Linked DNA regions of Drosophila melanogaster. Changing the gene in region 2 together with the main gene of any one other region gives a genetic interaction. Each region holds a gene or a part of one and is shown on either strand. Other genes may lie near its edges. The genes, in order: wake, Fbxl4 and Camta.

Region 1 (10,388 bases), on a different chromosome or scaffold from region 2:
GAGCCTAAACGATCTACAAATGTAATTTCCCTACGAGCCAATCCACCGCCGCTTACTCAACCAAATCGATGCCAGGACACTACGTGTGCACTCAAAAAAAAAGAGTGTCTAGAAAGATACAAGTCTGGAAAAGAACTTATTTCTTGGGTACCTAGTGTTTTTTGCCTTTTTTGACTATAAAATATATATATATAACAACTAAATTTTATATATTTATTTAATTTTTTTTAGATACACAACTATTTCTCTCTCTGCACAGCCAAAAAAAAAACAAGTTCGTATATCCAAATAGATATACAAATCAACCGCAAACCCAAATAAAGCAAGGCGAATGAAACTTATTCGAGCTGAGGACATCAAAGGAAACCAGAGAGCTGGGTATATTGGCAAGCGAAAGACAATTACGTTCAATTTGAGCCACAAGGACTCTGCAGTTAAGTTCAACTTTCCTGCCATTTGGTAGTGCAACTAAAAATAAGGCAGCCGAGTGTAATTGTAATTTAGCTGCAGCCAAGCGAGATCAAAACAAATTGATTTGCTGGCACAACGGCGATTGGGTTACGTTAGTTTGGTTTGTTTATTTATACACATATATGGGATACAAATGGACGGAACTTAAGTACCATCCATATTAGAATCGCTTTTTGTTTGCTCGCGTTTTGCCTTCAACTGCAAACATTTGCAGACAAACACACACACACACACTTATGAACGGACCGCCCGCCTCGGCATTATAGAGCTATTTTAGTCGGCACTCGCTCATAGTTACAGTCCAAGGTCACAGGACACACCACCCCCCCCCCCCAAAACACACACACACTAGCTCGCCCGCCCCACAAGACTGCGAAATATTTTTAAAACGAAAAAAGCGTAGCACACTTTTCGGGGCGCCCATTTTTGACACTTCATTAGTTCGCGTGAATGAATGTTTCCGTTGTTGTACGTGTATGAAAAGCAGCAGAATAATAATAATAATAAGAATAATAAGAATAATAATAATGCTGCTGCTGCTGCTGATGATGATGATGAAGAAGTAAAAGTATAAAAATGCGGATGAAGAAGCCGAACAAACTTTTTACGATTTGCCCTCGAGCACCTTTTGGCATTGAATTGGAAAAATTTGCCTATAAAGTCAGCCAACTTTCCAATTGTTACCAATAACGAATCGCGTCGAATCGAAGCGAAAACTTTGTGCTGCCAAAACAAAAATGAGAGCCATTAAATCGCTACAGGCACTGTAGCCGGATTGGGCCAGGGTAAAAATCGTAGAAAATTCGTAGGAAAATTTCGGATTTCAGCGTAAGGCCGATTGCAAAAGCAAGTGCTGCCAGCACAAGTTTCACATTGATGATTTACGATGCGTCTCCGCTGGGCAACCGAGGCCATTTCCCCAGCCAGGTGGCACAAATCAATGGGCAACGTTACCAGCTTTTCCTGCCATTGTCTTACCGCCGCGCCGCAGATCCCGGGCGCAATCCAATGCACATCCCGGGCATTAATCAAGCACAAAAGTGGAGCAGACAGAGCAACCGAATTGGTAATAAGAACTGCGATAAGCCCCAAGGATATCATACTAATGGTTTGGCGGGGGATAAAGGTCCAGCGAAATGTGCCACCTTCGATTCCGCGCTGCTTGAAATTGCTAATATCTAAGCCGGAAATTGCGAGAATTTCACTACCTTTTCACTTAGCTGTCATCTTTAATTAGCAGCCTTAATTAAAAGTATCAACGAGAGAGAGAGCGTGTAATTAAAAGCGAACCGCAACAAAACAAAGGCACAGCAAAATGTCATTCTAATTGCCGTACGCAATTCATATTGCATAAAAACCAGAAATAAATAAAAGAACCCAGCATTGGCCTATGAATATAAATTGAAAGTGAAATGAAGAGCAAGCAAAAAAAAAAAGCAGGGAATGTAAATAAAGCGTTTGTATCAATTAAAACGAAGGCCGGTCGTTATGAAATGCTAAGAGAAAAGCAATAAAAAGCAATAAAAAGCAAATATAGTGACTAAATAAATAATATTTTTAGAAGCTTACATTGTTTTCATTTTTGTTGTTAACCAAAAATTGGTTGGTTACGAAAATATAGGCAATATTCTACAATTTAGAACACAATTCTTTGAACATCATTTTGCTAGAATTTAGTCTGACTGCTAAATGAAACTGAAATTGCAAATTAGATTGCCAAAAATAAGCCAAAGGCATTTTTACATACATCACATTGTATTCATGCAAAGTGCGCGTCAGCTGCAGCAATCTTCATTAATTGCATTGCAATGAACGTTGGCATTTTCGCACATATGCCAGGGCAAAAAAGGCCAAGAAATGTCAGCCAGGCCAAACACAGCCATATGCAATATGCACACGTATAGTCGGAATTCTCGGAACGCATCGCCTGCAACGTCATTGTCATGAAATGCTTAAATTTATTGAGAGCATGCCACATATAGTATATACAACAACGTCCTTGTCCGGCACTTGGTATAATATCAGAACTCCTTGTTTATATTTTTAGTGGCAATACCAATTAATCTTAGTTGTCAAGAAGCCGGGCGCCCAGAAATAGCAATGTTATATATATATATATGTATATATATGTATAGGTAAGTATTTGTAAGTACTTGGTTCTTGCCTGTAAAATTAAGCACTTAATCATCGCTTGCAGATTTAATTAAATGCAGCATAATAGCAATTCAGGGAACAGGCAGCGATATTAATCATACGCCATGTTGTCAGCTTTATGAAATGCCTGCATAAATCTCTGCCAAGCCGCAGAATGCATTCTGCTGTTAAAAAAAAAAAATGCATGTGTGGGCGCTTGCTGTTGGCAAATTGTTTCAAATGTGCGCAATTTAAACGAAATTGAGAAACCAAAAGCGGAAAAATAAAGGACGAAGCAAACGTTTTCGGTCAGCCTTTTCCTTTTGACAAATTTGAACAAAAGCCAAAAAAAAAAAAAAAACCCCTCCAGAAACCCCAGCAGCATTAATTTCTGTGAGTTCTGTAATAAACTGGAGTATACGAAAAAATAACCACGACAGCTAAAAAGGGGAAAAATTTGGGGCAAAAAGGAAGTAAACAGCAGCGCGAACAAATGGCTCGTTTGGCTAACCTTTTCTGTTTGGCTGCCCTGCATTGCTTTTGTTTATAGAAAAGTTTAAATTGTGTCAATTTTTTGCTTTTTTGGCGCTCGCGCAATGCAGAAAGTTTGGGAAACAAATGAAATGTGGGTAAAAACAATTTCCGAAATCGCGACAAGGACGGCGACTTAGGACCCACAAAAAGTGTGGGTATGATAATGCCACAAAAAAAAAAAAGAGTATATTCTAAGATGTCAGGGGTGAAAGTTGGCATTCCAGTGAAAATTGCGTATTTTCCTATTAATTTTCCAGTGAGACGTTTACGAATTAAATCCCTAAGCGGATAGAATGGCGGATTTTCATCAGGTGCAGCTGGATGTCATAGACACAAAGCTTGCTATCAGCATAGTTTTACTGCTCTTTACGGTTCACTGCGATTCAGTGAAGCGAAAATATTTACTTTTTTGTTGAAATATTGATGACATTGGTCAGATTTACCATTTGAGCACACACAAACATGAATGCGAGCAGTGAACTTTGACACTTTTGTACATATATGGAAAAAATTCAATCAAAGTTTTCCATTTTATTACTGTATATTAATAATATTCTTTAATATACGATCCAATGAAATGCTTTCATGAGCCCCAATTATAATCAAATAACAAAACACTTAGCAAACAATGGTGACATTAATAAATTCACAGGACATTCATCAATCAAAAATCAGTTCGATCGATATTATTAACCCTTAAATACATTAAACTTTCGGTAATGACTGAGGTGCTTCCGTCGATTCCCATCTTCGAGGGGACATAATTTATTGATTTATGTATTCAGTCCATTTGGGAAATTAGGTTTCAATCATTTCCAATTGATTTCTTCGTCGCAATTGAGAAACTTTTCCTGCCAACTTTCAGCAGCAAAATAGTTGGACAAAACAGGCGAAAAGTCGGTTGGTATGGGAATGCAAAATGCTCGGCATCTCCTAGTGGCTAACAAAATCCACTGCCAAACTAATTTGTGGCCAAAACTATGTGAGAGGCGAGCAGGAATGAAGCATGTGCCAAAATAATACAATAGAACCAACTGAAACTTACTTGGGCTTAGTTGAAAAGAAAACTTTCGCTAGCCAAGAAATTAAAGTGAAGTAGGAACTAGACTTCTGGACAATTTACGAGCTCCCATGGGATCGCCAACCGTTTTGGTAACCATGTATATAGCACATATATAGTATGTGCGCGTCGAGTCAGTTTGGCAATATAAATGACGATAAATTAATTATCGGCCGATCAAGTCATTGTCGCCATTAATTATGGGCCCACGATGCACGGCCCAACGGCCTTTTAATAGTTTTTCACACGCCCACGGGACTCAGGACCTTCGGCAATTAGGATGTGAGGTAGATGGATGTGAGGTAGATGGAGATGAGGAGATGAAATGAAATATGGCGTGAATGGGCCGAGGTTTTATGACAATGTTTGCTGCCTGAATAGCGCGGCAGCATCGTCTGGGCCATGAATTTAATGCGCTGCAACAGTTAATGATTTTATTGGCACTCCAGTCGCAACTTGGCCACATCTTTGGGCAGAGACCGGGAATCGGGGACAGCGGATTGGTGTTAGAATCCTCGTAAACAGTCGGGCTGGAATTTATGACTTGGTCTCATGAATATAATCAATGTCAAGAGCGACGCCAAGTGTCGTCTGGGGATCGCACTTGCCGCGCTCTCGAATCCATTCCCCGCAAGAAATCTGAGTGCCCTGACCAGACGCAGACGAATCCGGATGAGCCGTAAACGAAGACGGGCAAATCGCTCGCCTGGCTTAAATGGCATTTCAATTTGGCACTTCCGTTTCCGCAACATCCCACCCCCATTGCTTTCTATTGGCTTTCTATTCTTTGTCCGTAATGTCCTTGCCAACATTTCAATTGGTTCAACACTGGCTGACTGGGGTCACTTCTGCAGGTCTTGCTACGGATAATCCTTAAACATTTCAGCGTTAGAACTTCGAACACTTCGATCCGTTTACCAATAACATTTTACATTTCACTCGAGCAATTTAACTGCTGTTTTCGGGTTCAAAAACTAATTCAACAGCGGTTCTGGGTGCGCGCGTTCAACCAATGCGTTTGAAAGTCCCAATGTAACTGAAACGGCGTGGGCCAAACACAAATAACACGCTACGCAGATGTAAGCTCACCGGAAGGACTTTAAAGGACGAGCGTTCGGAGCTTTTATTTAAATCGAAAAGTAACTGACGGCAGTGGGATGTGACAAAAGTTCGTTGCTATGCAACGAAGGTCAGCCCAGTGTGGCAACGATTGCTTCATAAATTTCAATGAGTCTGGCAGCCCTGTTTTTATCTAATTCAAATTTGTAAATATCGTTTTTCTATCAATGGTCAATGCCTTCAATATTTGAACAAATCAAATTTTCTCTAGAACTGCTTGTTAAAAATTGTTGACATTCTGCAAAACTTTAACAGTAATTACTAAAAATATGGTGTGTCAAAGTGATCGATGTTTCACAAAAGGTATGTAATATCGATAGTATCGAGTAAACATTTTAGTGTGTTCCATCTCTAATCATAGTTACGCTTGCGCATTGTAGACATAATTTTAATTACCGATTTACACACAATTAATTGCTACAAATATGCCTGATAAAGTTACAACGATGTTATTAACCGCGTGAATATGAGGTAGCACCCAAAGAAGAGTTAGTTATCAATTAATTAGAGGCCTAGAAAAGTGTAACAAAATACGCCTGGCCATTGGTGCGCATGTGTGTGTGCCATTGATTACATAGTTGGCATAGGCGACGCACGGGTGCGAGCGAGAGGGGGCATCATCCAAAAAGGGGCGCAACAGAAACCGCATTCCATTTCCAGAAATCCAGGTTGCAGCTTCCATCCATGAGAAAGGTGCGTACAAATGTCCAGATGTGGGTTAAGATTGGCCAGTACTCCTCATCATTCGTTTTCTCCACACAGTAAGCGCCATGCACCACCATCATCCGCCTTTGCCCATAACCGGAGCAAGTGGCTCCACAGCCGTGGGAACGGGAGCAGCTGCAGCGGAGGATGCATCACCTGCTGCGAATAGTGGGCCCGCCCCCATAAGCACCTCAACCACGCCTTCGGGATCCAACAGCCAGCAGCATCAGCGACGTCGCAAGAAGCGAGCCAACTACAACTACAATGGCATCCGCACCGTGGAAGTGCGACGTGGTTACAATGGCTTCGGTTTCACCATTTCCGGGCAGCAACCATGTCGGCTGTCTTGCATCATCAGCAGCTCACCTGCCGAGCAAGCTGGCCTGCGTTCCGGTGACTTCCTCATATCGGTCAACGGTCTAAATGTCTCCAAGTTGCCACACGAAACAGTGGTGCAGCTCATTGGCAACTCCTTTGGCAGTATTCGCATGCAGATCGCCGAGAATTATTATTCCGACAGCTCGGATGAGGAGAACGCCCATGCCACGCTGAGGGGTCAATTGTTGGCAGCCAGTTTGAGGCACAAGCCCAGGTTTCTACACCACAAAGCCAAACTGCACAGATTGCGCAACTCGCCACAAAAGAAGCTAAACCCACCAGAGGCAGTGGAACCGCACAAATCAAAGTCATCACCCGATCACCCTACATTAAAACCCGTTCTGGAGGATCCGCCTCTGACAGCCAATCTATCCAAAGCAGCGGATGTGGCCAATGTAAGTGCCATGGTGCGAGCTGTGGGCAGTGCTGCACTGGAGTGCCGTGTTATTGTTGGCTATCTGGGAACCATCGAGATGCCCAAGCAGATCTCGCATAGTTCCAAGCTGCAGACAGTTCGATCTTGCATTCGAAAACTGAGACAGGAGAAGCGACAGCCCACCATTGTGCTGATGTGCATCACGCCGGACAGCTTGAGCCTGCAGAGTTCCAGCGGCGGAGTGCTGGCCACCTACTCCTCGGCCAGGCTGAACTTCGTGAGCTCTTCGTCGGAGAGCGAGAATCGATTCTTTGGTCTGGTCACTAGCGCCGTGCACAACACACAGATCGAGGAGGAGTACGAGCCGAGCGCTGGCAGCGCAGCAGCTGCTGGTCACATCAGTATCTCGCACAGCTGCCATGTCTTCGTCATCGACACCAAGCTGATCGAACATGCACAGCATTTGCAGCGGGCCCACGAGTTCCGCCTGCAGTGCACCCGGGATCCGATCTCGAATTTGTGTCTCGAGTTCCCTAACAACTCGGAATATGTGGTGAATCTCGTGCGCAGCATGTATACCATGCGGATTCTCCCACCGGCAAGTCGGAGTCATCAGGCAGACTATGAGGCGGGTGCAGGAGCCGCCGCAGCTGGAGGAGCAGTAGCAGCTGCCCACTCGCCGCAGCCATCGAACCACAGCGAGATCTCCACCACCACGTCCAATTCGGATTCGGGCATTGGCTTCAACAACGATTGTACGAATATTTCGGATCGCATTCTGGTTGTGGACTTCCTAGCTGCAGGAGCGGGAGCAGCGGCGGCGGCACATGCAGGACCACCAACTTATCCAGCTCCTGCTCGTCCACTGGGCATAGTGGGAATACCGGATAATCGACTGACTGTGCGGGCCATGCCCGATCATTCCGCCCTGCTAAGATCGCCGCCAGCGAGCTCTTCGCTTCGTCGACCCAATCTCCTGGCCAGCTTCAATCTGATCCAAAGTCCCGCCACGAATCTCACATCCACCCGCTCCTGTGATGATGTCCTTAATCTTTTTGTCGACGATTCACCGCGCACTTTGGCTGCCGTGGCCTCTATGGATGACATTTCGCTGCACTCGGCTGCTCCATCGCTCGATGAGGGCCACACGTTTGCCCATCCAGCGTGTGTGCCCCGCAAGATGCGCAGATCGTTGGCTCTGGAGACGCCAACAACGCCACACAAGCTGAGTGCCCAGGTATTTGGTCAACCTGGCTCGCGTCATTCGCTGGGCTTCGAAGCCATCGACAGTGTGCAGTCGTCGGTCAGTGGTGCATGTATGGATCAGACCATGGACACGTGGGCCAGCCTGCAGAATCTGCACAAATCGCACAAGGATCGGACCAGCATGTCCGCTTCCTCGTCCTCCCACTGCCTTTTAGAAGCTACGAACAGTGAACCTGATTTGGGGGTAAGTGGAGCATATCCTTTTGTTTATCCTACATGTATCATAAGTTTTTGAAATGATTGGGAATACCTATAATATAATCATAAGTGCATTTTATATCAAATCTAACCCATACAACCCTCGGCTTATGTGAACCGCTCCTGTGCGCGGGCAGAAATCTGTTTACCTGGACGCCGCTCCAAGTTACCTGCGTTCTCGGAGCTTATCGCCCCACACTGCTCCTCCTGCTCTCTGGGCCCACAGATAAGGGGCTCTTTCTCTCTCTCTAGTGGTCTGGTGGGCCATATATCGGCATTCCTTTGTCCGCTTACCCGGAGTTTTGGTAGTCACAGTTGGGCTTTGGCAATAGGTGGCCACGGTTCCGTTATCTACGATTCGGGTACGGACATCGCCGGATTTTAGTTACTATTTACGTCCAGGCCGTTACACTGCAGCTCCGATCGGTATTATCACGGTTTGGGGATTCGAACGCGTCATGGTTGATAAGGGCGGAAGTCGCTGGCTAAAAATAAAGTGCTCCGAGCCGAATGACGTCATGGGCGTAGGTCACGACTGAAGCCGATCACCAGTGGAGCTCCATCACGAGCGGCTGCCTCCGCCGTCGATTCCTCTGCCTCGAGCTTAATTCAATCTAAAGCAATTAATGGCGTCGATGTCGACTGACCTTTTCGCTCCTCCGATCGGCCCCCACATCCCAATCCTCCACAGAATTCACATCGGGTACTCGTAATTTAGTTTGATTTTCGATTTGACAACACGCGATTTTTTTGTACGATTTTTGTGCGATTCGGTCGTCCGTTTGCGGCGGTTTCACTTTCGTCTCGCTGTGCAGTTGCTGTTCCCTCGTGTATTTGTTTTATACTAAATACATAGTACACGATGTGGGCATATTAAAATGAAAATATAAATAATATAACCGTCTGTGAAAAAGTTGCTCCATAAAAAGTTCAACGCCAGTTCAAGGAGCTTCGTCAGCAGTTGTGACTGAAATAAATATAAATAAATTGTCATTACGATAAAGCAAGAACAAAAACACAAACAAAAAAATTGCAAGTGCAATTGTTTTGCACAGGCAAACAACAAAAGTGATCAGCTCGATGCAAAAATGTCATTTCGAGAACTCGTTTGTGGCCTGTACTCCGAGGAGAAGGAGATCGAGGTAAGCTGACAATATGTGATTTGTGGATATATCTCACACTTATCGCTGCCCACTTGATCGATGATACACCCTTCTCAAAAAGTTCAGAAAAAAAAACAGTGGGATCGAACTCTTATTATGCATAAGTCAGTAATTAGGCAGAGGTTTAAGATCGCTCGTGGAATAAATTTGACGTTACTGGTAACATATTTACTTTGTTTTATGCCTGGCTGGGAATTGTGTACGATTCACCCTTCTACATAACGAAATTCTCTATTTTCAATCCCCCTTAAAAGTGACTAAAGCAAACCACTATGTATCGTTTGGAATTAGTAATCTGCTTGTTTGCTCATTTCAGCACGTTCTTACGCCTTTGATATAGTATGCTCTATTTCTTTTCTCATGGTCGCAATCAGCAAACAAAGTTTCTTTTTGTTTGCCGTTCCATAAAACTGTGACACCTGGTGGTAAGGTGGTAATTATTATTACCTTGAGTGTGTGTGCTCTGCTTGAATAGACAGTGCTCAAAACTACTATCATAAATTAAGAATATTATACATACATATATAGTCTGGGATCTGAAACATTCAAATATTAGCACTTAGATAATCAAATCACACATGTCTATATGAAAATATTGATGCAGCACTTAGTAAACTCATCCATCATTTCTCTAACTGATAAAACAGTGATGCATGTACATATATGAAATGCTAATGGACGTAAATTACATAAATTAATTTAATTTCGTTTGTTTCTAAGCTAACTAAGAGTTGTGTTCTAAAGATTTCGAGGGAACGATAGCCAGCTGGCGACTAATGAGCAAGCATGTCAAGTGCACTTTTGTGACTTATTTTTAAGCCATATTATAGACACGCAATCGGGGACTTGTTTTATATCTAAGTTGGCCGGGTGTTCCAACAGGTTGACTCTGGTCTGACGGCATTTTGGCGGTAAGCCGTGTGGTTTTCCTACGAAAAAGGTGGAGTGGCACATGCCGTCACAGGTGCAAAAGAAAACAACCCTC
Region 2 (11,712 bases):
CAGCAGCAGCAGCAGCAGCAGCAGGAGGAGGAGGAGGAGCAGGAGAGGCGGAGCCACTGTGGCACTATGGCCCTAACTAATCGGGATCGGGAACGGGGCTCTGGTCCATTGCCCAATCGCTGGCTATACTGTCCGCGCAAGAGCGATACCATCATTGCGGAACGCTTCCTGGCCTTTAAGACCCCGCTGAGCAATAACTTTCACGACAAGATGCCCATCGAGTGCACCTTTCAACCCGAGATGCTCTTCGAATACTGCAAAACGCTAAAGGTGAATGCAAACGCAACATCCCCCAATTTCCAACTCACTTATCCAATCCATCTTATGGTTTCAGGTGAAACTGGGCCTCTGGGTTGACCTGACCAATACGAAACGATTCTACGATCGATCCGCAGTGGAGGAGCTCGGCGCGAAATATATTAAGCTGCAGTGCCGTGGACATGGCGAGACGCCATCGCCGGAGCAGACGCACAGTTTCATCGAGATCGTGGACAACTTTATTAACGAACGTCCATTTGACGTTATAGCCGTGCACTGCACGCACGGTTTCAATCGCACTGGCTTCCTGATTGTCTGCTATTTGGTCGAGCGACTCGATTGCTCCGTTTCGGCAGCGCTCGCTATCTTTGCCAGCGCCCGGCCGCCGGGCATCTACAAGCAGGATTACATCAACGAGCTGTACAAACGCTACGAGGACACGAATGCCGCTCCAGCGGCACCAGAACAGCCCAATTGGTGCCTGGACTATGATGATGGCAACGGCGATGGTTTTGTGCAGGACAACTCCTCATCCACGTCACAGCAGGCCGGCGAGCAGGATGACGACGCCGAGGAGGTGGAGGGAGAGGATGCGGGCGGCGACTGTGACGCCTCCACGTCGGACGGTCAGCCGCGTAAGAAGCGACGGCGCGAAATGATCATCAAGAATGCCACCTTTATGGCGGGAGTGCCGGGCGTGCGACAGGTGAGCGATCAGCCGCGACTGGGCGATCTGCAGCGTAAGGTGCAGGACTGGTGCGACTGGAAGAAGAACGGCTTCCCTGGCGCACAGCCCGTCTCCATGGACAGGGAGAACATAAAGCGGCTAAGCGAGATACCGTATCGTGTGTCGTGGAAGGCGGACGGTACACGTTATATGATGCTCATCGATGGAAGGGACGAGGTATATTTCTTCGATCGCAATCACTCCTGTTTCCAGGTGGAGAATGTGACATTTGTGGAGAGCAGGAACCTAAACGAGCATCTCGACGGCACTCTCGTCGACGGGGTATGTGATTCTAGCTGGCACTCCTGATTGCAACTAAATTATCGTTCTATTTGTCCGTTTAGGAGATGGTGCTGGACAAGATCGGCGAGACCGTAACGCCGCGCTACCTCATCTACGACATTGTGCGATTATCGAATCGCGATGTGCGGGACGAGCCATTCTATCCAAATCGACTGGACTACATTAAGACGGAAGTTATAGGTGAGTAATTATTCGATGTTCGTTTATGAAGGACACATCCATATATCGCTGCAGGTCCCCGAATCCTGGGCATGAAGCATGGCATCATCAATCAGCGGCTGCAGGCGTTCAGTGTGCGCGGCAAGGACTTCTGGGACATTTGGATGTCTGCCCGGCTGCTGGGTGAGAAATTCTCGCGGACACTGGCACACGAACCGGATGGCCTCATCTTCCAGCCATCAAAGCAGCCCTACACGGCTGGCACATGCTCCGATGTCTTCAAATGGAAGCCACATGAGCTCAACTCGGTGGACTTTCGGCTGAAGATCATAACAGAGCGCGGCGAGGGGTGAGTTGTAGTGATCTATCCGTTCAACGGGCTCAATTCATACCATGCCATTCTCCGCCTCTGGCAGCTTGCTGACGAAAAAGGTGGGCTTCCTCTATGTCGGCGGACACGATGCACCCTATGGACGGATGCAAAGGTTAACGAAGGAGACCAGAGAATTGGACAACAGAATCGTTGAGTGCACCATGAATCAGTTTGGCAACTGGGACTTTATGCGCGAGCGAACGGACAAAAAGAATCCCAACAGTTATAATACAGCCCGCTGTGAGTAGTAATCTTCACCAGCAGTAGGAGGATCCCTATACTCATTCTCAACTCATCTTAATTTCAGCCGTTGTGGACAGCATAAAGCATCCAGTCACCAAGGAGTACCTACTAAACTTTATCGCAAGCTCTGGCTATCGGAATGATCATGTCATGATGCCGCCGCCGATCAATTCCCATAACCAAAACCACAACCATAACCACTTTTATCCCCATGGTCATGGCCAACACCAGCGTCGTCCCTGCGTGAACCCGACATTAGGAAATTAATCAGAGCGTAATAAAAAAAGAAAGAATAAAATTAATCGTGAGTTATGTACCGAAAAACTGTGTGAACTTGGGTTTTCTTGGATTAGCTGAACTACGAATTACTTAGTACTAGGAGCACTCCAACCAGCTGTACTCCTTATAAACTTAAAACAGCTCATATAATTTATTTATCTAAATACATACATATATTTAAAGCACTGCACACTTGCAGTTTTGTTTATTCAGATGCAAACTTTGTTAACCCAATGGAGGTAGTCCAGATACTGCTCCCAGCACCTAAGGCAGTTGCAACAGCCATTGCAATAATCAAAAAAAAAAAAAACAACTAAATAATGGTGTCCAAAACATAGCCAAAATGGATGACATTTACATAAAACAGGAGGAACTTTGCTGCTCAGTTGAGCAGGCTGCCATTGTCGCGCAGAACCTCCGCCTCCAGCTGGCCAAGATGGAGCAGGGCCACCAGAGCGGCGCCCTGCTCTGCCTGCTTCTTGTTCTTCTCCCAGAAGGAGCTACTAAAGCGCTGGCCATCGTACGTGCAGATGGAGCGAAACAATTTGTCACACTGCTGCGTTTCGTACGCTGGCGGGGATTTGCCAGTTTTGACAGCATGCACATATAGTTGCGTTTTCGGCAGATGATTATCTGTGGCATGAAAAATACCGAATGGGGATGATGGCTATCATGGCAAGAGATTGATCGAAACACTTACCACTGGGATAGGTGGAGCGCAGGAATGGCATGTGTCGGCAAATGATGCCGTCGTACTCGTCCGTTATGGCAATGGCCGCATCCTCCAGCTTCTGTCGCTTGGCCAGCGCCTCCGGTGGCTCCACCTCCGCCCGTCCCGAGTTGCCCATCGTCTTTAGCTCCCGCTGCTTGCGGCGGCAATAGTCGCCCAGCTCCCAGATCTCGCAGATCTGCTGCAGCGTCTGGCACTGAAGGAAACGCTTGCCACGCGGCGTCTCCTGCAGCTCCCTGAGTATGCTCTGCACACAGTACTTGGCGTTATGCGGCGCATTGTCGTAGTCGACGCACAGGCGCAGATACTTCTCGATTAGCTCGTCCATGGGCAGCAGGCCCTCCGGCCTGAAGATGCTAACATTGATCTGTGCCGCACGTGCGACCATCACGCTATCGGCGCCGCATTCCATTTGAAATTTGCGCAGATCATCGTAGCAGTGCATGTTTTTCGAACCACCGTTGGCGATAATCGGTATGTCAACCGCCTGGGCAACGGCACGCAGTACCTCGGGATGGGCAGGATGCTGCGGACGCTCGTCGCGCGTCCTCGCATGAATGCCAATGGCAGCGATGCCCGTGGCGGCCAGTTTCTGCACCAGATCGATTGTACCCTCCACGTCCGGCAGTATGCGTATTTTGCAGGTGACTGGAATGTCCAAGCCGGAGCACAGAGTGCGCAATATGTGTGCCGCCTTGTCGGGATCAGCGAGCAGGGCGGCGCCCATGCCGCCCTTGATGGAGAATTCCTTGGGACAGCCCATGTTTATGTCCAGACCGGAAATGTCGCGCTGCAGCAGCTTGCCCACGGCCAGAGCCCGTCCAGCGTCGCTGGTGCCCATTTGTAGTACCAGCCGTGAGGTTTCCTGGGCGCAGGTGCGGAACACAATCGTGCCATCCGACGGATCCACAAAGTCCACCGTGCCCAGAGCGGCTAAAAGGTATAATGCAAATAGATGAAGTATGCTGAGTTGGCTGGAGCTCTGTCCACTTACGGTTCGGCCTGCGTATGCTCTTGATCAGCTTGATGTCCACCAGCTCCTCGGTGTAAACGATGTCCGCACCCATTTCCAGGGCCAACAGTCGCATGGGCAGCGTGCCCACGCGCACCATTGGCGCCAGTATGAGCTTGTTGCGGTAGTCCAGCCTCTGGCGCGTCTTCATGCTGAAGGACTTCCTTAAAATCGTCGGCAGTCGCAACATGGATTGGAATCGCGGGAATCGAATTCAGCTGTTGCACGCCGTTCAATTTGGGGCCCTCTGCACGTCAGCGCATGGCGGACACTGCACGACACGTGGAGCCGTCATGCAAGGTACTATTTCTACGCCATATAAATATGATTGAATAATTATTGAAGAACTGCATATTCTATGCAGATATGATTTATTTGTGCTAGTGAATATTTTTGCATATTTTTGTTTGATTGTATTCCGCCTACTGAATATTGTTGATTATTATAATGTCTAAAAACAAAAATTTAAATCAGCTGCTTACAAGCTAAAATATAGGCATTGTTAATATTTATCCTGCATATATATACATACCTTTCCTTTGTTCTTATAGCAATTTCGCTTGGTGTGTTTTGGTATTTTCGAAAATATACTTCTGTATTCACGGTCTATTTTTCGATAGATTTTCTCGTTATCGATAGCAGTATTGTTTTTGTCATTTAAACCAAGCAAGCCAAAAGTTTTTTGTTTTTGTTTTGGCACAGAAATTTGCTGAATAACCGCGAATCCTCGAGAGAATTGCCACCCAAGCGCGACACACAGCACAAAGCAGCAGAGGTCAGAGGTCGGCGGACAGCGAACAGAGCAACAAGGCGAGGCGCGAATAAAGCTGCAAACCAAAGAGGACTCCGCAAGTGGCCATTAATTGGATTAGTTGCGCAGAAGAACTAGGAGAACATCGCTAGCCAGAGCCATTAAGGTCTGGCCCAGCAACGTGACCATAGCTAGGCGATCCACGTCGACGGCGCAGCCAAGCTCAATATCCGGATCATCTCGAGGAGCACAATTTGCCCGGACACAGCAGCGGCAATCCTTGGACAGCAGCGGCAGCGGCAGCAGCCAGGCGAGGACGAGCCGAGGAACCGGAGAAACAAGTGGCTCCCGCGACTCTGGCCCATCGGTTATGCCCAACGCGTGCCCTGGTACGCGGTTGGGGAACTGGGACTGGGGCGCAGCCTGCAGGCGGCGGTCGATACACTGAGGCTGACCTACGGCCAGCGCCCACGGCAGCTGGCGCTGGCCATGTCCCTGCTGGCCTACGGCGAACCAGCAGAGTCCAGCGAAACGGACAGCCCGGCGGCGGAGGCGGAGCCGGACGTACTGGTCGATTTTACGGCCATGCTGCAGCGGCAAAGGCAGAACGGCGATTACGGCGGTTGGTTCGGTTGCGACAGCAAAATGCAGACGACGCAATCCGATCAGGGCTACTATCTCGAGCAATATGTGCTGGGCGTGCTCGATTTCAGTTCACAGTATGGCATCGATTACAGCATCTCGTATACGGCGGCCAATGTGATTGGCAGGCCAACGAAATTTCCCGCCTATGGCGATTATCCGGAGACCTTTCCCATGGTGAGTCCATGCAGAAGCATCCGTACACGGTACCCATTCAACTCTCGCCCGCAGCGCACCTACGGCGACTGGTGGCAACGGGCACCGTCCGCCACGCGTGAGATTCAGCCCCAGAATCTGCCGAAGTTGGAAACACATGACTATGTTGGTAAGATGACTAGCTCAAGATAGCCGGATATCACATACCCTTGCACTTGCATCAGAATATCTAGCTCAATTTGCGCAAGGTTGTGATTGCTATAGAATTTCATCATCATAACATTTATTATCGATTTGCAGTTGTTTATTTCGAGGAGTTTGTAGTGCCCACCGAAGTGGCCATCTTTGAGACCTTCAATCCGGGCGCCGTTGTACGCATTTGGGCGTACGGCCTGACCAAAAACTGGACCTGCCTGTGGGAGGCAACGGAAAGCGATCTCTCCCGACCGCCGCCACTGGACTCGCGTCGCTTTGCGCCGTCACTGAAGAAGACCACGATGCTAACGAAGTAAGTAGTGGACAATGGTGGTATCATAACACTGGAATATATAGCACGCACTCTCTTCTTGGCAGAACGCTGCGCATCGATTTCAATCACAGCCGACTCAATTACTATACGGAAATCGATGCCATTATGCTGTGCGGTCGAACGGTCACCAAAACGCAAAACCTACTGGCCAAGCAGCAAATTACGCAGCACAGCCGGACGCTAGTGTCGCCGCCACCGGATGCTATTGGCTCAACGTCCGGCGACGGCAGTGGCGGATCAATTAGCCACAAGCTGCGCACCCTTAAGTTCCAGCCGAATTGCGGCGAAGACGGTGCCACCAAGCTGCACGAGTTCATCAACAACGATCTTAGTCAGTTTCTGGCGGACAATTGTGTGGATGGCGAGGCGGCGGCGCCACAAATCTGTCTAACGGATCTGCCATTCGAGATCCTATTGCGCATACTCAGCTACCTGGACCTGAAGTCGCTGTTCCGCGTGGGTCACGTGTCGCGCACCTTCTACGACATCTCCAGGCATCCGCTGCTCTATGCCGAGATCAGCCTGAAGCCCTACTGGGATGTGGCCAGCTCGGAGCTGTTGTGCACGTTGGCGCGTCGGGCCACCATGTTGCGCAAGTTGGATTTGTCCTGGTGCGGCGGCTTTGGCAATGTCTCGCCCACCGAGTTCAAGAAGTGGTTACATGCTAGCAAATCATACTGAGCTACTAGAACTAAAATTCGAACACTCGTTTCAGATTCCTGACCCAACGCGGCGATAATCTAACCCACCTGCGTCTGAACTCCTGCAAGTTTCTCAATGCCAGCTGCATTGAGAATGTGGGCATTGTCTGTGATAATCTGATAGGTGGGTTTTTCTCGCATCCTTATCGAAGGTTTAACTTAATATTTCGTCGCAGAGTTGAGCCTGCGCAACTGTGCCACTGAACCGCCGCTGTTGAACTTCTCCTGTCTGGCCAATCTCAAGAATCTGGAGCGTCTCGATCTCTTTCAAACGTACTTCGAAACGGAACTGCTGCTCAGCATGCTCGAGGGCAATCGCAAGCTAAAGCATCTGAATCTGGGTGAGCTTCTAGATAGCTTCAGTTTTGTTGCGTTTAACCAATTGCATTTGATGCCCATTGCTCAAGCATTTTGTGGTGTCTCGGTGAACATGGACAATGTGGCCGCCCATTTGGCCACGTACAATACGCAGCTGATCTCGCTGGATTTGTGGAAGGCGCACTTTCTGTCGTCCAGAGGATTGCAATCGCTGGCGCGTCTCCATCAGCTGGAGGAACTGGATCTGGGCTGGTGGTAGGTGTCATGCGCGATGGAATTGCATAATCCTTAAGTTAAACATGTTCTGTTCTTTTAGCATGAGGGAGGCATCGCTCGGAGATGGCCTGTTCCAGCTGCTGTCCAACTGTCCCAAGCTAAAGAAGCTCTTCTTGTCGGCGGTGCGCGGCACCACCGAACGCGATCTCATGCATATTGCCGCGCTGGGCAAGAATCTGGAGCAGCTTGACCTCATGGGCATTCTGAACATAACGCATGAGCGTGTTTATGAGTACGTCTCTCTTCCTTTTTAATCACTTTAAGATCATTAAGCATTCAATTCGATTCGATTTCAGCATTCTGGTCAACTGTCCCAAGCTGCAGTTGCTGGACTTGAGTTTCTGTGACAACATCATGGATCGGGATGTGAGTAGATGTTCGATGGAATTGCACCTTCTATTCCTTAGCTAATTCCATTTGTTACTCAGTTCGATTTGCTGGCGGAATGGTCGCGACAATTTAAAGTGGACATCAAGAGCAGTCGACGTCACTGAACCGGAAACGGAAATGGCGTAATTGAAACCGGAAATGGGACAATCCAGTCCTTGTAGCTACACTAATTATGCCTAGTACAATGCTAAGTGTACTTTTAGATCCCACATATTTGTATGTGACATTCTCCCTCTTCATTTATAGTAAAATGTTATATATATATATGCTGTTATGAATATGAAACATTTGATATTAAGCTGGGCGATTTTTTAATCACTTGAACTAATGCTAAGAATTAGAGAATTATAATACAAAAGTTGCGTATAAATGCACTTGTTTATTGATGAAAATTGGTTTGTTTTAATCTATATGGATATTTATTAATTTCATTTGCTTGCATTAACATTTTAAGCAAGAATTACAATTTCTTATTTTGATTATAAGTATACATCGATACTATCGGTAAATTCTGCCAACAGTGTGACCACACTCTTGCATTGCTCAGCGCTAATTTTCCAATTAGAATAATTTTTGTTATAAAGATGCCATCAAATATGAAATAAATAAATATATATATATTTAAATGAAATATTATATAGGTTGCATTACTAAATTTGCATTTCATCGTAACATTGGAAATCAAGAACTTCCATTCGATACTCACGACCGATTTTGCCACCTCCAGCTGTCATCTCCAACTTATTTTCCAATCAGAAACAGTAGCGCAGTGCGCTTATCAAAATTAGCTGTTAAATTCAATTAGTTGCTTGTATTAATTGCAATCGTGGGCAAGGGGATTCACTCGGAGCGACGGATGACCCAGCTCCTGGCCAGGAGTAGCCCGATTGTGAGTGCCAGCGGAGTGCGGGGCGTTTGGCAGCCAGCTGTGCAGCAGCAGCAGCAACAACAACAATAACAACAAAGTAACGAGGTCGCAGGACCAAAAAAAATAAAGGTGGAGAAGGAGGAGAGGGGGAGGAGCAGAAGGTATGTATGTGTGTGTGTGTGTGTGTACCCAGTTAGGGAGCCGCCTCCTCCACCGGCCACGCCCCCTAGCAGCACGTACACATCGTGTAATTGCCGTGAATTATTGATGTGGCCCGAGCATTCGACGCTTTGCGGGCGTGCCCGTCCATCTATGGAGTTGCTAAACGAGTGGTCCGGCCACCAATTGTGTGGCATTTGTGTATATCCATTAGATCCAGCGATAAGCAGCCATGCGCTTTAACAAGCCGGAACTGAACTCCCTGGCCAGCAATCCAGCAACGCGATTCGACAAGGAGGGCCTGCTCATCATCACCGATCGCCAGGAGGGCTTCCTGTGGCGCTCTAGCGAAGGTATTGATTGCACCACTACCATCTGATCACTCGCATCCATGCACATGCATTAGCAAACACACACACAACCGAACAAAACCAACCACCCACCCACCCACACACAACATCCAATCCTGTCCAGGCACTTGGCTTATGCACCTAATTCTACCGCCCACAGTCAGAGTTGAACGTTGGTGTAAACTGCGTGGAAATTTACTGTTCTACCTCAAGGATAAGGACCCCAAGTCAGCGGTGGCCGGCCTCCTGGTGCTGGAGAACTGTCGTGCGCGCATTCAGAATGAGGAGCGTGATTCCGAGGGCTACGTATTCGATTTAGGTAGGCAACAATGCACAATGATGCTATGCTATGATTACTACTACTAAATGCCTATGTGTTGCAGACTTCAAGGACAGCCCATCGGAACGTTTCATTACACGTTCGTCGGCCGAACGCCTGGCCTGGGTGCAGTGCATCGAGCACGCATCCAGCGAGAAGCTAAACGCGCTCATACGCCAGCTAAAGGAACAGATTGTTAGCCAGAGCCGCCAGCCCAGCAGCGGGGCGTCATCCTCCATGGGCAATCACATTGACCTCGGCATGCCGCTGGAGCAGCAAATGCAGGAGCAGCTACAGCTGCACGGCCAGCCGGCGGAGGAGTTGTCCGTGCCCGTGCCCACGGAGGTGGTGGCGCCGTTTGAAGGTGATCTTATACAGTTCTAACCCAAAAAACCAAATAAGAAAATCCAAAATGAAACGCAAACAATCGGAAAACGCGCGGCGGTCGTTGTTGTTTTTTTAGTTTTGTTAACCAAATATTTGGCCATGTCACTGTTCCACCCACTGCACCACATACCTCTCGCTCACTTCCATGCAACCACATCCGGTTTGAGTTCATTCGATTCCAACGCGTCCAACCAAAGACGTTTCAATCGCAAACATTCGGCTATCGAACTAATATTTCATTTTTCGTTTGTTGCATCGGTTGCATCCAATCGAAATCGATTGAACGCACTAAACCCATGATTTCCATTACTCCATTTTCGAATTTATATGTTGTAAACTTATGTGTAATCCCATCGGGAGCTGGTGTTGCATTGCGTTCCATGTGATTATGAATTTATTCTTGGAATAAACTTTGTTTTGCTAATGAATTTAAACGAAATTAACCAGTTGTTTGTTATTCAATCCCCTCCTGCTTTAGCTGTGCCACCTGCCGTTCTGTAACCATTGCATTCCCCCGCCTGCAATCTGACCTGGTCTGCTCTTACTTACAGAACTCGATCTCTCGGAGCTGCCCATTTGCGAGACGGCGCTCTCCTGTGATACCCTGCCCCTGGACACGCTGGGGCGACCGCCCAATCCGCAGGTGGTGTGCTCGCTGCTGCCGACAGCTGGAGAGGATTGCGTGTGGCGGGAGCACGCGCGCACCGAGCTGCAGGAGCGCACACGTACACCCCAGTTCCTGTGCACGATGCGCTTTCAGCGCAGCGCCGGATTGTCGGCCAGCACACGGCTGCGTTTCAGCGTCTTCGATGTCCGCGAACGGATGACGCTCACCGCCGTGCCGCTGGGCCATGCCGAGGTGGCCCTGGGCGTCATTCAGGACACCAGCCGGCTGCGCCTGCCACTGACATCGCCGCGCGGCGAGTGCGGCTTCATTACGCTGGCCTCCTGGTCACCCGACGCTGCCGTGGAGCCCGGCCAGTCGGGAAATGGTCCGCCGCGTTCCAGCACCCAGCTGTTCGATGGATCGGCTGGCGCCGGTGGAGCCACAACGAGCAGCAGACGAGGTGAGATTTGGGGCACTTATAGACCTTGTGCATAGCAGGGTTCCATTGAAATAGGTGCTTAGGATTCGGGTTTCTTGGAGTATCACTTCGAAAACGACAAGGAAAAGTATACAAAGTGGCACTTTGCGATCGTATTTAGGTTTTCCAGTTTCCAGATAAAGCATTCATTGGTTTTGGCTCGATAAAAGTTCCTAAAACTTAATGTATCTTGTATCTGTAAGCTTCAAAATCTCTCTTTCATTTAAATTGTATCTTGTATCTGTAGAGCTTGAAAATATGTACTGTGTATCTGAGAAGTACTGATAGATATTTCATCAAATATTTCATGACCAAAGTATTTGGCGTTACAAGTTGGTATCTCTTGGATGCCTCTAGCCTAGTGACTACCATATTCTTCCTCCATCCACAGCCCATCGTCGCACCCAGTCGCTGCCACCGAAGCTGGGCGTCCGCCTCTTTGTGCCGCAACAGTGTGGCCTGCAACGGGTGTGCTCCAATCCCCGCCTGCGCACATACCGACTGCACTCGTCGCTGGGTGCGGACATCAGTGTGCAGGAGACGCTGCTGGAGTCGCGCCTCTGCTGCCAGCTGCCCCAGCAGCTGCTCTCCATTTGGATACAGCGCGAGAAGGAGCTGCTGCAGGAGATCTCCGGCATGGGCGAGCTGAGCGGCGAGTGGCGTTGGCGACAGATGAATTTGCTGGAGGAGCATCTAC
Region 3 (10,466 bases), on a different chromosome or scaffold from region 2:
GAACAAATATTTTATAAGTTATTGTTAAATACAGACGGACACATTTTCCTCGTTTGTAACAAATTATTAAACGCTATACTAAAAATTTATTTTAAGTTCATTTAAAAATAATATAAAAATTGAACTATTCATTTTAATGCTTGTTGATTTAAAAAAAAAACCGAATATTACCGAAAATTAAAGGATTTATTTTTTAGCTAATATGAGGGCATATGCACTTGAAGTCGTTGTGCCCCAGCAAAATGACCTACGAGTTTTGTGTAGGTGAGAACGTGATCGGCTGTAGTTTTCTCTTTTGCGGTTGGAGCCTCACTGCCACACAAACATATGTCTGCTTAGTAATGCCCGCATGTGTGTGTGTGGGTATTTCTGCTGGTTTACCTGTTGCTTTTCAATTGTTTTACATTTTGCCAGAAAAATGATTTTCCACAAATGCCAGAACATACGGCACTGTCTCGAGATTCCACCGAAATGGTTTTGGCCAATTAAAATTACTGCAACAGGTGGGGGAAGTGCGCTCACACACATGTAACCTGCTTATAGCTATATGTATGCTTGTAATCTCGACCTGACGTAAAAACAAAGACACAGCATTGCCGTTGTTTTTGTTATTAGCCGCACAAGACGAAGAAGCAGAAGCAGCTTAGAGAAAAATTTATTTATTTTCGTAATACGTAATTTCTGGGGCTGTTTGGCCGCTTCAAATACAAATTGCAATAAAACTGGTTCCCCAAGTCGACCATATAATAATGTACCAGGATTTGATTATTGTTGTCGTTATTCGGTGTCCAATTGTTGCTTTCGATGCTGCAGTGGTGTTGTTATTGTTTGGTGGCATGCCTTGCATTTTTCTAGTACACATTTTCCTTTTCCATTTTGCCACATTTTAACTGCAGTCCCTTCCCCTTTAACCGCCCCTCTCTCTTCACTAACCAAAATAAAACCGGCTTGACATAAAGGAGTGTGCGTGATGAGGGTATGTGTGTGTGTGGGGCCACTGCAATTGTAGTTTCAGTTTGGATGCAGGCACTGTGGAATGCAAAAGCCGTTTAGCAAAATAAATTGGCGTGAAAGCCTGAAAACCACAAATAGCTTATGGTACTTAATATTTAATAGCTGTTCGGTTTCTAGGTAAACGATATTAAAGGCTGTAAATGAGGTTGAAACCCTTAAACGGGAATAAACAGCTTTTTAAAGATCAAGTAAGTTTCTGTACGGAAAACTTTACTAATAAGATCATTTCAGGCATTCCTCCTGGCCCAGGGAATTTTAACTTTGTTTGGCCCACAGTACTCTCCTTGTCGTTTCGCTGCATCTGGGCATACGTACAATTTTCCCACACCCGCTCTCTGTCACCGCGATCTCTCTCTCTTTATCTCTTCGCCGGACTTTTAAGCTCCTGTTTCGGCTTTTCTCTCCGCTTAATATTGGCCATTTACAGTTAGAGGCCGCTAGCTGCGCCGCCGACAGCAGATATTGCAGCTATTATTTTCTCTCCCGCTGTAATTTTATTACCAGTTTCCTTTCCGCCGGCCAAAAGGAAGACTCCGAACGGCTTTTCATTGAGAGATTTTCCGTGGAGCAACAGGGTGACCTATGCAACAAAGGGCAACGCTATTTTTGGGCTTTTCAAACTGCAACCTTGCTAGTTAAACCGCTTCCACTCATTAAAACTACATTGAATGTATTCATAAGCTTGCAACAAACTAATGAAGTCATATGTGGATTTTTAAAAGGTTTGTTTAACGACATTGTGTTTCTTGGAAGAAATGTCTACGAGACTTGGCTTTATACATAAGTACATAGATATTTTTCGTACTACGGAGAACCTAGAAGGGCTCAGCGAAACTGGCACCAACAACATGGTTCAATGTGCACTTATTGAGGGGGCGTTCGATCTGCCCCCCATTTGCAAGTAATAATGGCTTTTAAAAACTCGCTATTGCATTTTGATCGGGGTCTCTTTTGAATTGTTATCGTCGCCAAGGGGCGTTGACTGCGTATGCTCGTTGGGCGCGCTGAGGGGAGTCCTGAGGGGGCGTGACTTCGAATGCTTGTTTCGTCGCACATGACGTTATCTTGGCGTCGTTTTCATCATCAAAGCAATAGAGTTCAAAGGCCCAATTAGCCAAATAAAATGCATGAAACCAGAAAATACGTTTCTCACTCATTGTTTTATAAGGCGAAATGTCATTAAATGGTATTGTAAATATTTGTGCGCTGCAATAAAATGGCAGCCGAAGCCAGTTATTCTTGTTGCTTTGCAGCTCGTAGGAACGTGCTGGTATTTTTCAAGCGCAATCGCTCGCTCAGTTTTTCGGGCTTTTCAGCTTTTTCAGAGCCTGGGTGCGGAGCCGGTGTCATCAGCATAATTTACGTGCCGATGCCCGCCCCGCCGAGAGTCACGTTTCCACCTCACGCTCCTTATCACATGTCGACGAGCACGGGGAACACTGTAGGAAATCAAAAGTGGGGAGTACTGTCAAAGTGCCACAAAATGCATATACATATGTAAATAAGAAACTCAAAGCTGCAAATCAAACAAGCAACGCGATTCGGATTAATTCCAATGCCTAAATTATAGCCAGCAATGTAATGTAGCAATATTGAGAGAATATCATATTATCCTAACTATAGATATAAACATAAAATTCTAATTTCAGCTTTATTATGCTTCCCATAAGTAAACATTGACCTTCTTAATATACAATAACTGTCAAATTATCATTACAAGATAATTCAGAAGACAAATATTTTGTTTTCTGGGATCGCGGATTATCAAGTTGGCGGGTTCATTTAGCGCGTGTTGCCTGTGCTTCCAAATGAGCAGCGCTTATCTCGTTTACCTCTTGATCATCGCTTATCAGCGGGGCCCTGAACGCCCCCATAAAGGCACGACACACACACATACATACACAAGTGGCACGCACACGGACATGCACACATTTCGAGTAATTCAATTATTTTGTGTATTATTTTCAATGTGCAACAAAAGCGACAATAAAATAACAAGCCAGCGGCAATATACAGCCAGCAGCCGACTTATCACCGCGCCGTCGCTGTTGTTGCAATGCTTGTTGCTGCTGATGTTGTCGTCGATTTCAAACTGCTGGCACTGACTGGCACTGGCACACAGCTATGGCAATTATTCTGTGTTCGCTTCAGTCGCCCCGCCCGTTGATTTTGATAGAGCCAGAGCCCCGAGACTTCCGCTGGTCGCGGGAAGCGGAGGGAAGCGAGGCGGGGTCGGAAAACCGCGGGGTCGGCTGCTGGAAAAATCCAAGGAAAGTTCGGCGAAAGTCGTTGCCTATCAATGATGGGCGGTCTCAAGGGCTGTACATACATACAAACATACATATATTTTGATAGCTTACAATATACAAATGTACATATGCGAATTACACAAAATGTCATTTACATTTTACGCCCATTTTACTTCCCATTTGCATGCTCCTCTTAAAGGATTTTGACATATAACTTTATGATTGAACTAAGCTAAGAACTAGAATGGTATGTAATATTTTCCTTGGGTTCTAACAAAAGTCGCAGGAATAGAACTTCCTGCTCACGTCCAAGCAAACCAATCTCAGCGTTTTTAAGACAAATATGCATTATAAATTCATCAATCCTTCATTATTTATTTATTTAAGATAATATAACCGAGGCCATCGACTATGTACCTATATACTAATATACATCATTTGATTGAACTAAGATTAAAATTTTCGTAGACTGAAAGGGTATACTAGATTCGTTGAAATGTACATATACATATGTAAGTTAAAGAAGGGTGGAACCGTCAGCTGGACGTCGGCGGTAAACAGCGGACACGGCGGGATACATCGGAGTTTAAAATTCAACAGAAAGAAAATAATTATAAAACGTATAAAAAATGACTAACAAAACCCGGATTTGAAATTCAATACGATATTTTAAATATAGTGCCCGATTTCCGATAATTGAATGTTGGAGTTGTCATCTTGACCGATAAGCCGATAAGTGGAACACTTGGGGTGCTGCCAGATGGTTAGATATAGTTTAAACTAATTTATATCAAACATAGACTTGTAAGGTTAAGATTACAAGGTTATTGGCTTGTAAAGTATTCTTGCTTTCTTGTATAATAAGTTATCAATTTTAAAAAATTCGAAATCATTGTCGTTAAGTTTTGTGGGAGCTCGCCCTTTGCAACATCTGGCAACTTTGCCGTCATATGTTTGACAGTTTGACATGCACACAGTTTTGGAGTAGCTCAAAATATTTTCGCTATCGTTTTTTTTTAATAATTTCGTGTGTGAAACGGTGATATTATTGATTTTTGTTGCATTTTATGCATCGTCCAGCTGAAGCACATCGAAATCCGCCAAGGGACTCCACGGCTTGCGCACAGGGAGGCAGTGAAAAAGTTTTGTTTACCTTTTTTCGATATCCCAGAGTTCTGCGATTTCGGTGTCGCTGTGTGCGTGTGCGAGCGCCCATGTCACCTGTGTGTGTGTGCGTGCGAGCTGGTGTGCAAAAATGAAAATGCATTCTCAATAAAGCGAAATAAATGTGCCAACCGCTAAGAGAGTAGTGCATTCTAAAATTGGTTGTTAAAGCTGTGCACATGGAAAATGTGCCCGATATTTCCACCAGCGCTTCGTCCTCTTCTACTTCTAATTCAACTTCCACACTGAAACTCCAAAGTAAGTTAGCCCCAACTCCCCCTACCCCTATCACCCATCCCTCTTCTACATGCATATATGTAAGTTATATCTGTGCTGTAGCCCACGTATCTCCCGATTTTCGACCTGATAGTCGTGCTCTCCTCGATATTGGTTTTCCAATTAGTTTTTGTTTTGTTGTGTTTCGCTTTGCGTTGCGTTTTGTTTTCACGTTGTTGGGGGTTTCTTTGGGCCATTAACCCATTGGTGGCCGCTGTGCCATATTACGCCTTTCCTGTCAATACTGAAATCTCTTTAGTATTACGCCCATCTACGGTATTGCAAAGCTGGTTTAAAGATGGGAGAGTCTAATTGGAAATTCCTATGGACGCAATCAGCTGTTATCTGGATTCTTTAAACATAAATATGGCAACTCTGCTCGTAAAAACCGATTGGCGGGCTTCGAATTTTAGAAGTGTTAATAACACACTCTTAGTTGGTCATAAATTCATGAGTATAGATAAGATAAATGGAAACATTTCTTTTCCAAACACAAAACTAGTGACCTAAATGTTTATAAACAATGATTGTTTAAAAGATTGGAAAGTGGTCACAAAAAAATCCAAGACGTTCACCACTTTATTTAAATAATAAATATTTATGTCTAGACCCAGAGTAATAATCAGTTGCAGACTGATAAAGCCTATCAAAGTTCTTGTTCTTGTGGTTTGTTCATCTTTGATTTGTCCTCTTTCTTAACCCTTTGTCGGCTATCTATGTGCAGAATCTATTGACATATTTATCGAACTCTTTCCCCAGCTGGCAAATCTAACGCTTTTTGATTTATGCTTCTAATAAAAATTCAATAGACTTGCAATTTGTCCAGCTACCCAGAAACTTTTGTTTCCCCCCCAGTTTCCCAGCTAAGCAAGTGGAGTAAAGCACGTGGAGTACAACAGTGGGATTATATAGCACGATTTTTTTTTTTCAAAATCCTGTAATCAAACAAAATTTAAAGAAAAGAATTAAAAACAAAAAATATTTCAATTAAATTGATATTTCCTATTATAGGAATATTTGGTTTTAACAGCATTTATACATGAGAAAAACCCTTAAAAATAAATACGAATTAAAAGCAAATTAATTTTAAAATAATTACAACAAAATCATTTTCCATTCAAAATTCCGTTTTTATCTTCTGGTTTTCATTATTATATATATGTTGTATATTTTTTTTTTTACTTAAACTAACAATTGTCGTGCCCACTGTCCACATCGTTGCACATCAAAAGCCGCGACGAACGCAAAAATATGCGAAGCTTCAGCCAAGAGTGTTTTATGTGTTACGCGGCTGCCTGATCCCCGAGTGCCCCGAATCCTGGGATCTGCGTGCTGTTGTGGCTGGTCTGCCATACATTACAATGAAGTATGTGCGCTCGAATGGATGGCCAGCCAACAGCCAGTGGCCCCACCTATTCTATTCCGATCCTGGTCCAATTCAGGCGGTTTATTTTGCCTGGCGGCAGGCGACCTTTTTGCACAGACACTCCAAGGAAGGCGAAGGGGGCGCAGACACTTGTCCACTTGGGGTCAGATGGTCGCATGTGGCGCTTTCCCCTGCCCGCTTTTCTGCTTTTCCGCTTTTCCCCAAAGCACAGCCGACTGAAGGCGGCGTCAACGGCTAATTATGACCCGCACGTTTTTGCGAAAACAAACACACATGGTTTTTGGGGGTGTGGAAATACCCAGGAAAGGGTGCTGGATGCCGGCGGCGGGGGGAGGCGGGAAAAGCAGGGGAGCCGGACAAGTGTTTAGGCTACATTTCGAAATGTTTCCGGCGCGCACTTTACGTTCCGTGTCGCCTTCAGCCTTGAGAGTCTATATTTGGCAACGCATGCCAGGGCAGAGACCCCCATTTGCCTACACCCGTGAACCTACCCCATTACTTTCTCCTCCTTTCTTGGCTGAAAACTCGCTGTTTGTTTGTTGCACTTTTATTGCGTTTTGTGCTGGGGCTCGTCGGCTAAGTAGTCCTTCGTCCCTGCCATAAACATGTCGTCTTTCGCTTGATTTAGCGTTTGGCTACCGCCCATCCTCCCCATTTGTTGGCCAACAAAATAGAGTGTCCGAGCCACTGACCGCTCTAGGCATACGTCGCGTATACGTAATGCTCGACGTCCCTTTCAGTTCATTTTTACGGACCCTGGGAAAGTGCAACAATGGCAGCCACGCCTCCTGCCTCCCCTGTCACATGCGCTTCTAATGCAAGGCTTTCCAAATTCGATCAAGATGGAGTCATAAATCTTGCGCCGCTTATGAAGTTTCCATTGAATTTGCATACAATGGGGCTGTCCGTTTTTTGGGGCCACTCGAAATTGCTCAATTCGAGAAATCGAGAACAAAATGTTACAGGAGCACTTACACCAAAAATGAAACCAACACGCTGTTTAGATAACTTACAAATAAATAAATAAGATCTACTCTTTTTATACATCCAGACGTTCTAGGATGTACATTTTTAATTTTGTTGTTTTACCTGGATAAATACCTTTTATATATTGTATGTACATTGAATTGATTATTTAAGACTGATTTACTTTTGTTATTCCTTTCTAGGCCAAATCACCTCCAAAAATGTCTTGATCCGATCGCAGAGCAGTGGCAAGCTAAGCAGCAATGAAGCGAAATCAGCAAAGCCAGCAGCAACAACCAGTACAACGACGACTCTGCGAGCGGCCAAGCTCAAGATCGGGGCCATGCAACAGCAGAAGCAGCAACACCAGCAGCAGCATCAGGCCACGAGTGGCGGCAACATCATCCTGCTGCGCGGCACACGCAACGAAAATGGCCAGATCATCATCCAGAACAAGCAGGACATTCTTAGCCTGCTCAGCGAACAACAACAGCAGCAGCAGCAGGAGAAAAGTCACTCCTCCACGGCCATTACGCTCAACCAGCTGCCCACGGCCACAACGGTGGCTAGAAAGACCATTGTGCAGGGCTCGAGTGGAGCCGGCAGCAGCAGCAGCAGCAGCAGCTCCACCATTTCCATTGTGGCCAACAGCAACAACAAGGAGGCCAGTAGCAACACGATCCTTCTGCAAACCCCCATCAATGCCAGTCAGTTGGAGAGCGTTCTAAAGGCCCAAGAGCGTTCCAAGCAGGCCAACGCCACGCAAACCAAGATGGTGGAGAGACCCTTTATGCTAAAACATGTAAGAGATGTGCAGTGACATTTGTGTTGTATTTTACCAACTTGTTCCATCACTTTTACAGGCCACACGCAGCTTGAGTTCCGAGAGCAACTGCGACAGCAAGTCACCCTTTGTGCTGCAAACGCTGAAGCGTCTGGAGAAGTCTCAATCCATACTGGTCATACGCAACTCCACGGCGTCGACCGCTGCAACCAACACTTCCATGGCCACTTCGCCACCAAATGGCAACAGTCTTGCCACCTCAAGTATTCTAAGCGTGACGCGCACCACGAAGGCGGCCAAAGGCGTGGCAGGAGCGCTGCACAAGCTCAAGGCGGCAGCAGCCACAACAGCCACTAGCGGGGGAGCCTCATCAGCCGGAGCAACATCATCTACGGCCACCACCATACTAAGGCTGGGAAAAAGCGCCACCACGGTGGCCATTAATGGAGCAAGCAAGCTGGAGGCAACGACGAGCACAACCACAGCGGTGCCAGTTCCGGCCACAGCGACAACATCAAATAAATTGTCCAACGCGGTGACAAGCGAGCAGCAGCAGCAGCAACAGCAACAATCGACAACAACGCAAACGAATGTGCCACTTGGGAACGGTAAGTCTCGAGGATTTGGTATCACCGAATTTCAAATGCGGCGCATAAATTGCTGGCGGGGTTTTCGGCAGGTGTTGCAGCTGCAGCTGCATTTGCATCGGGACCGAAAAACAAAGCCTGACGCAGTCTCCTGGCTGAAGATTTCCCGGGCTTTTGTGCCCCATCTTTGTTGCCTATTTTGGGGCGCTCTCTCTCTCTCTCTGGACGACTGGCTTCTATTTCTGTTTAGTTACGGAATTTTCGCTGATTTACCAGGAATTCGGCGAACGTGGCCTGCCTCACAATTATTCAATTAAATCGAGGAACGTCTTGACCGCCCCCTTAGGGGCTTCAGCTGCACTCAGCTGTGAATCCCATTGATTTTAACACTTGAATCAGCCTGCTGCTCCCTGGTGACCGGTGCTCTGCTCTTGGCCAGTGGAAAACAAACAGCCAACAAGACACCCCTTATTGTGTTTGTTGTGTGTGTGCCGTCTTCATTAGTGCTGTGTGCGCTGAGTAACAAGTTACGAGTTATCAGAAAGTTTCGGCAAGTGGAGCCCGGCTCAATGATTTCTTGAGGAACACAGCAAAAATGAAATGAAAACAAATCAATTCTTTTGGGCGTAAAGTTTTCAAGACTTTCAACGATGCCAATTTGAACCAATTGAAAGATGCAACTTGGGAAATTCGATATATACAATTGCTAAGTAAAAGCCTAATTCGAGTTATTTAAATGATTTATGATTGGAATGTGATTAATACTTAGCACTTTATATAAGTATGCCTAATCAAAGCTTATGAACTTAAAGATTTATTCTATTATCCTCTATTTCGAGTAGCATTTCAGCCATTTCAACTGGTTCAACTACTTTGAGCACCCTGCCCATGCATTTTGGCAGAGCTTAATAAATTTTCAGCAAATGCCTTGGAGATCGAAGGGCGCAGATTAGCCACGTTTGGCGAGCAACGCCCTGGAAGGGAAACGGGCAATGTCAAAGTGCTGAGGTCCACAGAAAAGGCGGCATTCGAAATTCGGCACTCGTGGGGGAGCAGTGATGATTATTGCACTCGATACACGAGTGTCGTCTTGGCTGGCGATTCTGCTGACAGGCCAGAACGATGGGCGAAGTGTCTAAGTGATTTTTAAGCCCGATTCGAGTTATGGCCAAAGGCAACATCCCATTTAGTGCGGGTGTCGGGCTGTCGGGCTGTTGAGCTGTCGACATATTGCAACGCTCAAGTATTGCTGATGTTTCAATTGCCTTTCGACTGAATGTTGTAGGTATGTGTACTTATATCCGTGTTGAATGCAGACTTTTAGAAGATCTCTATCTGATTTGCAGTTAAACAAATGCAAAAGCAAAGCGGCCAAAAAATAACACTGAGCAGACGACTTTGCCCGCTTGCATTTTATTGATAAAACTTTGGCCGCCTCTGAATTTAAAATATTTTAATTTAGTTTGGCTTTAGTTTAGTCGGCACCAGTTGTTGTTCCTCCTGTTATCCTATCATATTCGTTCATACCATGGCCATTAGCTAAAAGGCGGCCAACCTTCAAAAAAAAAAAAAAAAGAAAACTGAAATAAAGCCACGAAATTTGCCTTTCGGTGAGCTCTTCTATCACTTTTTTTTTGCGACCGAAAGGCAAGCAAATTAAACAAATTACCCCCCACACACATGTGGATCCGTGAGATACTTTTGCATGCAAGTCAAGTCGAAAAAAGGAGTTCTAAAAAAAATCAGAAAGAGCGTTACAATTCGTTTGCCTCTTTTTGTGCATTTTTCTTCCAAAATCCTTTTGGACGAGCCTTGTGTGCTTCATTATCATTATTTGAGTCCGTTTCTCTGTTTCTTTCCTTGAGCACATAATTGCCAAGAGAAATAAAAAAGTTGGCGCTTTGTTTTGCACAAAACTTTTGCATTTCCGTTGTTATGAAACTTGAGCGCGTCCAAAAAAAATGGGGAAAAAATGGAAAAGATATGGCAGTGAGTGCCAGAAATGAGTGAAAAAAACTGGCCGAAAAAGAAAGAATAGG

What was found.
Region 1: of Fbxl4 (region 2) and wake, changing one suppresses a phenotype caused by changing the other (phenotypic suppression), as found in Drosophila melanogaster (one study listed by BioGRID).
Region 3: of Fbxl4 (region 2) and Camta, changing one suppresses a phenotype caused by changing the other (phenotypic suppression), as found in Drosophila melanogaster (one study listed by BioGRID).

What each region holds. Positions count from the first base shown.
Region 1 is NT_033777.3:22,634,639-22,645,026, reverse strand, and holds the start of wake (wide awake), read right to left. Parts: upstream 5,220-10,388; 5' UTR 5,117-5,219; intron 1-5,116. Other genes in the region: loco (locomotion defects), read left to right, coding at 6,088-8,226.
Region 2 is NC_004354.4:14,230,936-14,242,647, reverse strand, and holds Fbxl4 (F box and leucine-rich-repeat gene 4), read left to right. Parts: upstream 1-4,724; 5' UTR 4,725-5,324; coding exon 5,325-5,654; intron 5,655-5,708; coding exon 5,709-5,802; intron 5,803-5,933; coding exon 5,934-6,141; intron 6,142-6,206; coding exon 6,207-6,815; intron 6,816-6,877; coding exon 6,878-6,987; intron 6,988-7,039; coding exon 7,040-7,204; intron 7,205-7,270; coding exon 7,271-7,436; intron 7,437-7,497; coding exon 7,498-7,689; intron 7,690-7,753; coding exon 7,754-7,823; intron 7,824-7,885; coding exon 7,886-7,951; 3' UTR 7,952-8,235; downstream 8,236-11,712. Other genes in the region: mRNA-cap (mRNA-capping-enzyme), read left to right, coding at 67-270, 335-1,267, 1,330-1,468, 1,523-1,796, 1,864-2,060, 2,128-2,330; Dus2 (dihydrouridine synthase 2), read right to left, coding at 2,725-2,975, 3,043-4,005, 4,067-4,274; CG42271 (uncharacterized protein), read left to right, coding at 9,107-9,227, 9,385-9,543, 9,608-9,907, 10,482-10,997, 11,407-11,712.
Region 3 is NT_033778.4:9,441,827-9,452,292, forward strand, and holds the start of Camta (Calmodulin-binding transcription activator), read left to right. Parts: upstream 1-4,219; 5' UTR 4,220-4,606; coding exon 4,607-4,685; intron 4,686-7,259; coding exon 7,260-7,858; intron 7,859-7,919; coding exon 7,920-8,448; intron 8,449-10,466. Other genes in the region: ced-6, read right to left, coding at 2,847-2,857.